Cricetulus griseus: one gene and its partners. The protein of the gene in region 3 purifies or fractionates together with the protein of the main gene of each other region. This does not show direct contact. Links are inferred from orthologs where the notes say so. Each region holds a gene or a part of one and is shown on either strand. Other genes may lie near its edges.

What was found.
Region 1: the proteins of Pdgfrb (region 3) and Fyn purify together in Homo sapiens (pull-down; 3 studies listed by IntAct, with this or other methods). This does not show direct contact. The link is inferred for Cricetulus griseus from reciprocal best matches to the Homo sapiens genes PDGFRB and FYN.
Region 2: the proteins of Pdgfrb (region 3) and Rasa1 purify together in Homo sapiens (co-immunoprecipitation; 5 studies listed by BioGRID and IntAct, with this or other methods). This does not show direct contact. The link is inferred for Cricetulus griseus from reciprocal best matches to the Homo sapiens genes PDGFRB and RASA1.

The regions. Positions count from the first base shown.
Region 1 is NC_048595.1:261,872,864-261,876,998, reverse strand, and holds the start of Fyn (tyrosine-protein kinase Fyn), read right to left. Parts: upstream 2,862-4,135; 5' UTR 2,521-2,861; intron 1-2,520. UniProt on the Homo sapiens protein: Non-receptor tyrosine-protein kinase that plays a role in many biological processes including regulation of cell growth and survival, cell adhesion, integrin-mediated signaling, cytoskeletal remodeling, cell motility, immune response and axon guidance.
Region 2 is NC_048595.1:305,271,550-305,275,819, forward strand, and holds the start of Rasa1 (ras GTPase-activating protein 1), read right to left. Parts: upstream 2,856-4,270; coding exon 2,335-2,855; intron 1-2,334. UniProt on the Homo sapiens protein: Inhibitory regulator of the Ras-cyclic AMP pathway. Stimulates the GTPase of normal but not oncogenic Ras p21; this stimulation may be further increased in the presence of NCK1.
Region 3 is NC_048595.1:178,020,478-178,023,547, forward strand, and holds the end of Pdgfrb (platelet-derived growth factor receptor beta), read right to left. Parts: intron 2,392-3,070; coding exon 2,220-2,391; 3' UTR 502-2,219; downstream 1-501. UniProt on the Homo sapiens protein: Tyrosine-protein kinase that acts as a cell-surface receptor for homodimeric PDGFB and PDGFD and for heterodimers formed by PDGFA and PDGFB, and plays an essential role in the regulation of embryonic development, cell proliferation, survival, differentiation, chemotaxis and migration.

The DNA of each region.
Region 1 (4,135 bases), about 84 Mb from region 3:
GGAAAACTATGGCAGAGTGGAAGAGTGGGACCCACTCAGAGTCACACACAGCATAGAAGAAAGCCACCTATTTAACAGAAACACCTATTGGGGAGTATCACATGAGCAAGAATAAATATCTTTTGTTTTTGTACCAGTCTGTTTTCAGGCCAATTATAGCTGCCAACATGAGTCTACTTAAAACAGATGTCAGATACGTATCATTGACCCAATTCACATTTGTTGCTCACTCAATGAACAACCAACCAAATACCAACTAAAGTAAAACTTGATAGAAAATGAGACAAGCCTGATTAGTGTCTCTTCTCAAGGTGCTGACCAATTAGTGGTAGAAACAGACAGAAGACAAACAATATCTGATGATGATGTTGGGAAACAGATTTGGAGACCTGGTGGCTTGCCTGGAGCAGAGGAGATGGAGAAGGCTTCAGAAAGAAAAGATGGCATTTGTGCTGGGCCTGGAGGGTAAAGACTTCAAGCAAATCAGATGGGGTTGGAGACCCGGGGAAGTAGAGAGCATTTGTCCATGTTAACTTATCATTAATAAGTTCTTCTAACTTGGGCAGCACAGTGCAAGTTTACTGTGTACTGATCTTCCTTTCTGGGTCTGGTATCCCAACAAACCAGCCCCTGTTTTCAGAGGACACTTAGGATTAATCCTTCTGCATTTTTTAAATATAAAAGTTCCACAAGGAATATCACAACTCTAAAACGGCTAAAGAGTAAACTTGGGACAGTTTTGTTACTTTCAACAGCGGAGGAACCACAATCGGGAGTCAGCAGATCCAACCTAAATCTTGACATGTCAAGCCTGAGATTTACATCTCCATCTTAAGAGGAACATCATAGGTTCTGAATTCAGACACCGACATCCCGTTAACTACCCCTGAAGCTTGAGTTGAAACCACTTCCTCTGAAATCTGAGTTTCTTCATCTGCAGAATGCTTGGTACTCATGAGGCAGAGGACAGACACAGAGCACAGAGGATGGAAAGTACTGTAGTCGCTTTAGTGGTAAGGGGAAGGATGTGGGCATTCAGAGTCAACCTTGAAGCCAACAAGTGCTGACTCCAATGGTCCTCCAAATGCCAGCCCAGTGTTGTATCCACAGGCCCGGTTACTTAAATAAAAGGGCAGAGTAACACCGCTGGGAAGACCAGAGCACATTTCAAAAGACTTCATTCAGCCAAGTGGCCTAGGGCTTTAAGGTCTGGCTGCCTCAGTCTTCTTAAACAGTTTTGATTCTGACTCAGAAACAATTTTGTTCTGATCCTCCATCCATTTATCCTGTCACAGGTATCAGTACCTATCCTCAAATAGAAAGAGGGGGAAATGGGGGAGGAGAGGAGGTTTCCTGGAAAGTACAGCAACTCCTAAGACAGCTGTAATAATCTCCCACCCCCTTAAATAGAAGAAACTGCAGTTGCCACTCAGCGTTACCAGTCGGTGGATACAGCAAAATGCCTGCACCTGCCACCCTGGATCTGGGAGCTTTCATTTTTTGGTAAATGTGGTAGAAAGGACTAAGAGATCAAGTGCTTCATCAGAAAGAAAGGGAAGCCCCGGGATGAGAAACAAGAAGCATGGTACCCTGGGTACTTTATGTCTCTTCTCTATAAACTGAAAGGGCTCTTTGTGTCACACACACACACACACACACACACACACACACACACACACACACACACACACACACACAGAGCGAGTCTGATTTATTGGAGGAAGGAGGGGCAAAATGGGTGATTTTATTATCCTTCCTCTCAGTGAGTCCCAGCAAACGCCTCCTGGGCCCAAGCTTGGTGGCCTCTTTCTAGCCCAGTCCCTTCTGCCTGTGGCCTCAGAGATAAGAGAGCCTGGAGGAGACCAAACAAAACCATCCACCGACCTAGGGAAGTAGGGAGGAAATCCAGCGAGTGGAGAAGGGAGGAGAAACGAGCTTGACAGAGCAGAAGGGGTGGGGGACAGAGGAAGAGGAGGCAAGGCCAGGCACAGGGGAAAGGGGAAGGGTGGGTGGGTGGTGGCACAGGAAGGGTGAAGGGGAGGATGGGGGAAGTGCAAGGGAGGTTCCAGAAATAGGCAGGAGGATGCGCTAGGGAAGGCGAGGGCCGCCGAGGGAGGAGGCCGAGAGGTGGAGGAGTGGGGCAGGGGTTGGGTGGGGAGGAAAGCAGCACGGGGCATCAATTATTAAGTGATTACATCATCCCTGACATTAAAACAACACACACAGCCCGGGTCCCCGCGGGGGGCCGCGAAAGGAGGGCGGGGGAGGAGCAGGGCCAACCTCGCCCCCAAGCCAATTCCTATTTTTCATCCGGCTCCCGCCGGCGGCCGAGGAAATGTACCCCGGTGCCCGCGTAGCCTGGGGACGGCACCCCGCATCAGTGTCCTGCGTCGCGGGGAACCCGGGGCTCAGCGCCCCGGAGGCTGCGCGGCGGGACCGCAGCGGGGGCAGCCCATGCGGGGGCGCTGGGCCGGGCGTATCCGCAGCATCCCGCGGCTCCGCGCATCCCCGGCCGCTTACCTGCGTGGCGTGGCTCTCGGCTCCGGAGCACATTCACATGGTCCTCTCCCCGCCCTCCTCCGGCGCGGCCCAGGCGGCTACGGCGGCTCCGCGGCGGGGCCCGGGAGCTCGGGGGCCTCGCGAAGCGCCGAGGGGGCGGCGCCGGTGTCCCCGGCCCGGCAGCCCGGTCCCTTCCTGGCTGGCGCGGGCGGTGGCTTTGTGTGCGCCCGGGGAGTCCTCGGAGCGCTCCGGCTCGAGGCGGCCTCGGTGTGCTCCCGGCCGGCAGGCGGGCGGGTCTCGGAGGCCTGGCGCACGGCGACCCCTCTCCTCTCCGCGGAGCCCCCTCCCCGCCGGCTGCGCTCCTGACAGATGGCGCAACTGCACCGACGCGCCGCCGCCGCCGCCGCGGCTTCTCGCAGCTACTCTCGCTGATGCTCCGGTTGCTCCGGATCCCGAGGGGTGCGAGAGGGGGCGGGACTCGTCGGAGACAGTCAGGTCGCTCTGCCCTATCAAAGGGCCCTCTGGGAGCTGTGGGCCGCAGCCATTGGTGCGCGCGTGGGAGGCGGGACGGCCATGGGTGGGGCCGCCGAGTGGGTTGAGCGTTACTGTGGTGGCGGGCATCCTGGCATGCGGGCCGCGCGGGGTGTGCGACGGGATGCGAGGTTGGAGGAGGAGGGGGTGTGTGTCTGAGGATCGTGTGGAGTTGGGAGTTAATGGGGTGGACCGGAGAGAGCGGAGGCTACGAGCTGCTTTCTGCTTTGCTAGTAGAGACTGACACCTGCCACTGCAGCCTTACAGCCACGGGAATCTATTTCGCCAGAGCCTCGCCTTTGAAAGTGGGAGGATAAAATGGAAAGGTGTTAAGAATGGCGATGGCAAATCACAGAAGTGAGGAGCAAAGTAGAGAAGTCCATTGCAGAAGCCGGCAAAGCTAGACGACCCCGCAAACGCGCAACGAATAACAAACAAAAAAATCATATTCTATTTACTCTCACTTTTGTGGGCACCTATATATCTTTCTTTTCCAGAAAAAGTCAGGAGAAAGTATTGCTGAAATGCAAGGGGGCTGCAACAAAGAAACCCAAAACCACACAGCAGAGATTGTTTGCACTCTTTCTCCAGATGCTTAACAGTAGCCTTTGGTTGTCTGACTTCTTGGGGCATTCAAACCTCTGTTGGTTTTCTTGTTTTCACTCATTGCCTCATTGCCCAGTGTTTTGCTCAGAATTTCCCTGATGAAATAAATGGCTGGGTTGGTGTGCAGTTGGGAAAGCTTCGGTCTTTATTTCCGATCCAGCTTTTCTATGGCAGGATGTAACTTCATAAAAAGAAACACTTCGCCTTCCTGATTTTCTTTATAGGTAATTCCTGTTTACCGAAATCTCTGTTTTAAGACGTGTCCAGAATCATTTTTCCCTTAATGATTTTGGCAAGAAACTCCCCTCTCTCCCCTCAGCAAATCTAATTTTCTAAGAAGTACGTTTAAGTGAAGCAGCCTTGGCTTCGGAGCTCAAGGTCTGTGTTATCTTTCCTGCCCACTACTTTTCCCCTATAGTTTAAAAATACCAGTCACTCTTGCTGACTTTCTTCTCTTTTCTGAGGTGCTTTTATTTATTTATTTATTTATTTATTTATT
Region 2 (4,270 bases), about 130 Mb from region 3:
TATAAATATACATTAAAAGTATAGAGGACTTTTTAGAATATGAACAACTTAGCTGGGTGCTGGTGGCCGTGGTGGTGGCACACATGCCTTTAATCCCAGCACTGGGGAGGTAGAGGCAGGCAGATCTCTGTGAGTTCTGTTCCAGCCTGGTCTACAGAGCTAATTCCAGGACAGCCAGAGCTGTTACACAGAGAAACCCTGTCAAAAAAAAAAAAAAAAAAAACATATATATATATATATATATGAACTACTCTAAGTCAAATTTTATGTTCATTTTTAAATATATTTAAAAATAATAAAATTACTTCTAATAGATTTCTCACAAATAAAATTTTCTCCAAATAATCATGCTTAATCTTAAAAATTTAGTGTGAAAATAATCTGTATTTTTCCATTCCATTTTGCTGTCAAGTTTAAATTCCTCTTTTAAAGCATATTATAACCTACAAAGGGAATATGATGGCTCAAGCCTACTATCCCAGCACTTGGGAGGCTGAACTGGATCATCACCGATCAAGGGTGGCTTGGGTTATACGGTGAGTTACAAGCCATCCTACACTAGAATGACAGCCTCTCTTAAAGAATAAAATAAAATAAATGAGTCTGCTGGAAATAATTTAATAATAATACACTGGGATGGAGAGATGGCTCAGCAGTTAAAAGCACTTGCTGATCTTTCAGAGGAGCAGTGTTTGGTTCCCATCACCCACAGAACAGCTCTCAACCACCTGTAACTCCAGTTCCAGGAAATCTGATGCCCTCTTCTGGCCTCTGTCACTGGACACTGTCACAATGCACATACACACATGCAGACAAACACTCATAAAATAAAAATAACTAAAGTTTCAAATGCCTTTAAGAAAACAAGATTGTAAATATGCCTAAATCAAATTCAATTACAAAAATGGCGTAAGACCACATTCTCTCATTATACTGCATTTTATTATAATAAAAGCATAACTGATTTTGGCAAAAAAGGTATATACACAATGCCGGAATTTTTTTAACACAGAATATTCCTAAGATAGACTGCAATACACAGACATAAATTAGATTAAAATAAGAAAAGAGAGGTTACACTTTGTGATGAATGACATAAAAGGAACATAACTCCCTTTCACCATAGCTGGGAAGTATCAAAACAGACCTAAACTGAAATCTGAAAATGTCAACAAACACAAAGCTTTCTGACCAATGCATTTCTAAATCACAACATGCATTCAAAAGAGCAGTAAATGTAGCTTAAATGAGAATGGATTACTATTACAAAATGCTTCCCTGATTGTCTTTAGGTCATTTCTTAAGCCTCTTAAGAAGCTGACCCTCCCAAAGAAAACTTCTCAAGTGTCCAGAAAGTGTCAATATATGAACCAAATCTTTTTTCCTACAATTACCAATGGTGTTGAAATTCTAAAGGTCAATTACGACTGATTCGAAGGCTCTATAAAACATGCTTCGTCTATTATTACCACTTCCCACCTCAACAATTTTCCCTCATCAAAATCAACCTACATTTACAAAGACATACCTATTTCACTTAGGAAAAGAACACATTAAAGAGACAACTCTAAATTAAAAGGGAAAGCCATTTTCCCTGATTAATTCACAATAAACTACCAAAATTAATTTCCAAACAATACAGCATCAGCCACGACCAATATTTTATTTTTTAATGTTTTGTACTGTCTCAGTATAGAAGTATTACATGAATACTAACAACATTAAGGAACAAGTTAGTGTTCAGTGTGTGAGCCCTTAATCACACCTGTAATTCACAGAACTTCCTTCCATTCTCGGCTGCTTCTCTAAAGTGATCTAGTCTTTTCTGAATCACAACTCTCCCAGTAAACATTAAGTAGGGATTTGCAACTGCAGCAAAAAGAAAACATTCTGACCAATGAATTTCCAACTTACATTAATGTAATACCCATGTAAACACCTGTACTCATGGTTCTCACTGTAAATCTAGATTCAGCAGGGGCATGGGAGGTACCATAGACAGTGGCTGCCTTTACAGTGCCAAGTTCTGCTGAATCCCGGACACTATCTCAATTAGGAAGGGGCAGAACCATATCCGGTCCTCACTGGATACAGTTTCCCATGCTTCCCATCTGAAAAACTTTGTCTTGCCAGAAAAGCAATACACACACGAGGACGCCAGGGACAGTGCCGTAGGGAAGATGTCTGGTCACATTAAATCCCTACATAAGGAACGTGAAACTTCAAAACTTTTCAAACAAATTACCGCCGCAGGAGCATGGTCTGTTTTGCTTTCTTGCCCACTTCTTTCATGGAACCAGCTTCCACAATCCCTCAACAGCATTTTGGACTTACTGGTTAGTGGGAGGTGCGGTCAGCGGTATGGCCACCTCTTCCTCCTCGTATTCAGGTCCATCCAGAGAGTCACCTTCATCCACCGTGCCCAGGCCGGAGCCCAAAGGGGGCAGCTGAGGAGGCGGCGGCAGAGGAGGGAATCCGCCACCCGGCCCGAGGGTCTCGGCAGACAACGACAAAGTCCCCTTGGCGAAAGGAACATCCCCAGCAGGTCCGGCGGCGGCAGCACCCGCCACGCCAGCAGCAGCAGCAGCAGCACCGCTGGTCAGCGCGGCGCCCCCCAGGACACCCGCCACTGGCCCTGTCGCCAGGAACCCGGACCCCAACGCGGCTCCGCCACCCAGGGCCGCAGCCAGGTCGGCGTCTGCCAGCCCGGGGCAGGGGGCGGCTGCCACCGGCAGGGCCGCGGGTAACTTCACCCGGCACGCTGCCGGGTAGGCGCTGGAGCCCGCGGCCGCACCGCCTGCGGCCCCCGCGGTGGCCGGGCCGCCTTCCTCACTGCCGGCCTCGGCCGCCATCATGTTGAAGCCCGCTCTCCTCTAGCTACCCCGGCCGCCCGGGAGCCCCGGGGGCCAGCAGGCCCGGCCTGCGAGCCGCCCCACCCAGGCGCGTCCCCCTTCAGCTCTCCAGGCAGAGGAAACAACAACAAAAGGAGAGCGCCCGCCGCCGCGCCCCCTCCTCCGGCCACAGCCCAAGCTCGGCGGCTGCTGGCTTACGGGAAGCGACGCGGGCAAAAAAGCCCAGTGCCTGCAGAAACGCTACCCGAGCTGGCCGCGCACACCCACACTCACGCGCACACATGCACAGGGCGCCAAACTTCCTGGCTACGCTAAAGAGGAAGGGAAGCCCGCTGCAGCGGCCAGGGCAGCGCTGCCTCCTCCGCCACCGCCGCCGCGCCTCAAGGCCCGGGTTCCGGCCGCCCCCACCGCAGCCACCGCCGGGGCTGCCGGAGCCGCGGCCGCCGCAGCCTCATCTCCGCCGGCTGGAGACCCGGGCGCTGGGAGGGGCGGAGGAAGGGGGCGGGCGCGCACAACCCGACTCGACGGCTGCCTGCCGTCCGCTCTCGGCAGCGAAACCCGAGAGAGAGGGAGAAAGGAGGGCGGGCCGCGGAGGAAGGGAGGGGAGCAGGAGCCCGAGGCTTCTGCGCAGGCGCCTTCCGGGAGCGCGTCTGGAGAGAGGCCAGGGAAAAGCAGCCCGGGCAGCAGGAAGCGGCGGCGGAGCGGCGGCGGAGCGGCGGGCGGGCGGGCGGGCGCGCGCCTGGGGGCGTGGCAGGCTCTCTCGCTGAGCGGCGAGAGACGCGTGGCGCGCTCCCTCCACGCCAAAGGTTCTGTGCGGGCCTGCCTGCCTCTCCCGGCTTTGTTTGCTAACGGGGCGACAAGGAAAGTCCCTCGTGTCCACGCCCGAGGGACCGGCGGGACGAGGAGGTGGTGGGAAGGAAAGGTTGATGTCAGGAAGTCCATTCCCTTCTTTCTAACTTGAAGAAAAATGTCCTCAACCACCGGTGCAGTCGGCAACAAAGGTCAAAGCAGTAGTCCCAGTTTATTCCTTTTGGTTGCACAATGTTAGTCGCCGTGCTACTGTCACACGGTAAAATAATTCAAACCTAGAAGCTGGGACTCAAGAAAAAAACTGATGAAAGGAGCCATGGAAAACTGTGAAGGTGGAAACACAGGCAAAGCCAGATTTCTACTACTAAAGTTCCCTGCTCCGAATGCCTCTCTCACACGTTTGCACGCCAGACAATAAAGTGTGAACAGGAAAAGTGCCTAGGTCAGTGTGGTTTTGTGCTAGTTTGTATTCAAGAGTCTGCAAGACATATCCAAATCTGAACTTTACAAAATTACCAAACTCAGATCAATGTCACCTTTAATATGGCCAAGGAAAAGATTTTGTTCGCCTTATGTGAATGTGTATATAAGTCTATAAGTTCATACAC
Region 3 (3,070 bases):
CCCTTTCTCCTTCCTTACTTTCTCTTGCTCTCTGGCCCTCTTGGGTATTCAGTCTGCCCTGCTCCTACCTGGATCCCCAGTGACGACTCTCAAGGATCTAAGATTCGGACTCTGGTGGGCTCCTCTCCACAAGCCAACCCAGCTCAAGTCTGGCTGTAGGCAGCAAGAAGTGGGGCAAGGAGGGTGACTCAGCTTAGCGGCTAAAGCCAGAGCACATGGCAAGGCAGGCAGGGGTGGGGATGGGGGTATGGACCATCTCTGTAAGCCCATGCTCTCCTTCCAAATACCACAGCAAGAAAAGCCTCGCTTCACATCTGGAAACCCAAGCACAAGGCCTAGGTGGTCACCCCACCACTTCCCAGGATGGGAGGAAATGAAACTGGCTTTTTTTTTTTTTTTTTTTTTTTTTTTTTGGTATGTGAGAGTTGGAGCAGAAGGCAAGGACCTGTCTGGAACAAACTGTCTCCACATTCTTGGACACACAGACCCAAACCTAAGAGATGGTCTTTTAGTGAGAAGCACCAAGTTTAATATTAAAATTTTTCCCTTTAAAAAAAGTACAGATAGGAAGCTTAACAGCATATAAAATAGCACTTCTGGTGTCTAAGTGGGTTATCGTGAGTCCTATGAGTACTTGTAAACCTAGGTGATTACATCTTTGGTACCGTTGTGAGCAGCTCTCCCCATCCTCCAGCAACCTCTGCTGCCCCAGGCAAGGGAACTGCCGGCCAGCAAGCCAGCATGGGAGAGCTCCCAGAGGGGCTGGCTTCTCCTTCCCTATTCCAGCCCACTCCTCACTCCCCAGGATCCTCCAATGCCCATTGGTTCAGGGTTGGTAAAGAGCCACTGCTGGATTTGGGCAGTGACAAAAACATCCCTGTACAGTGCTGCCTGAGGACAAGGGACAGCAGCCAATTGAGATGGCAATCCCCATGGCGTCTGCGTCTCATGCCCACCTCAAGCTTCTTGTCCTACACAGGACACATCTGCCTTCACTCTGGTTCATCATGTCCACACTCCTGATGACAGTGGCCTGGGGTGACCTAGCTTGCCTTTCTCTGCCACTCTTGCTGGCTCCAGATTTTATCATGGTATGAAAAGGGTCTCGTGGTCCTTCTGTGTCCTCAAGACAGCTGTAGGGGGTTTTCCTGGGACACTGACTGTTATGCCAAGTCAAGGTCTGTGCAATTGCACTTGGGGACCTGAAGGAGAGGCTCAGTTCCTGAATCCCCAGATGTGGTATCTGGAATCTTCCCAGAGTTCAGCCAGAAATGTGGCTTAGGGACTTGACCCCAGTCTGCCAGGATAAGTCCAAGCTCCTGGAACACTCTAGACTCGTAGTATTGACAGGGTACACAGTGTCAATGAGTCCAGCTTGCTTACTTTTCAAAGGGGAAAGAAAACTGGTACCCAGAGAGAACAAGGGAGTCTTCCAAGGTCTCATAGCAGGTCCAGTGCAGAGTCAGGGCTCCTACTGGTGCCTTCAGGAAGGCGTTTAGCATATGAAGGCATGGACTATGGGCCTGCAGACTCTGGTGGGCAGGTCAACGGAGAGTGATGAAGATGAAAGGCGTGGGTACCTCTTGTGGCCAGGTGTGTCCTGTGGGCTGCAGGCCAGAGCATCCTGTACTCAGCTCTGCCTTCTCCCCTAAGAGTGTTCATGAAGCATGGCTGGCCCCAGACCAGCTCGGGCCTGGGAAAGCTAAGACTGGCACCAGGGGAGGAGGGTTCTAATGAAATGGCCTTGTCCAAGGCTGGCCTCTGTTTGGCCAGGAGTCAGGCACCAGGTTCTTGCCAAGTTCTTGGGAAGATCAAAGTGGAGTGATCCAGCTGAGGGGCAACTGGCTACACAGGAGGACGTGAACACACCACTTTACACCCAGGACTCTCTCCAGGAATCTAGGTTCCATACCTGTCCAGGCCAAGCCCAACTCTTCCTCTTACATCTGGGGAAACGGAGTCCCCTGGAGGAGCCCTGGCTCAGAGTCTCATGGCTTTCCAGAAGCAGAGGCTCAGTTCCCACAGTTCTCTTGCCTCCTAAGCTAAATTGGTCCCTGGACCTTGAGTGCCACACACCAGGGGCCTTCTTCAAGGGGACAGCTGGTGGCAGTGCAGCAGCTGGAAGGCCAGGCCAGGCCAGGCCAGGCCAGGCTAGGCCAGGAGGGTTGGGTGCTAGGAGGCAAATGAGAGTTTCAGGTTGGGTGGGGTGGGGGCAGACCCTACAGGAAGCTGTCCTCTGCTTCAGCCAGAGGTCCCTGGCAACCTGAGCACTGTGGCTGCTCCAGCTCTGCCTCAGGCTCTGCCTCAGGCTCTGCCTGTGGTTCTTCTTGGAGATCCAGGGGGCTGTCGCAGGAGATGGTTGAGGAGGTGTTGACTTCATTCAAGGTGGAGCTAGAGGAAGGACACAGTCAGAAAGGAACTGGGGAGACCCCAGGAAGATAATAACAGCCTTGTCTAAGGTTTTCTGTGTATCAACTTTCCATACTGAGAGGCCTGCACCACAGGCGAGCACAGCTTAGAGAGTTATGTCATTGCTCCATAACACACAGCAAGGGAGCATGGAAGCTAGAACTTGAGAGCAGGGCCATCAGGCTCTTGAGTTTCTTTCTCATCTCCACTTGCCTTCAGGGCCTGTGAAGGCCTGCATGTACTGCTAGTTCCTATGGAGAAACTGAGGCTCACAGAGGCAAGCCCTGTCCATGTTTCACAATGACAGGCTAGAAATGGAAACCAGCATGTCTCCTGCCACTCCTCCGTGGGTTGAATCTTGATTTGGGGGAGCCCCCACTCCAGCCTGACAACTAGGAAGCAATAAGGCTCCCCTAGAGCCCACCCCACAATGGACTTGCCACAACCCAAGGCAGACCATGTGCCTCTTCCCCTGTCTGAGTTCTAAACTGAATTTGCAGCACCTCCACCTCCTACAAGCAGTGCTCCCTGGAGCGCTCTGGGCATGGCAGCCATGACCCACACTAACAGCTGGGGAATGTTAAATGTTTCCTCTCTGTCCTAGGGACTAACACAGTACCTGCAAAGGGTCTTGTGGCTACACCCTTAAAAGGAAGAGCTA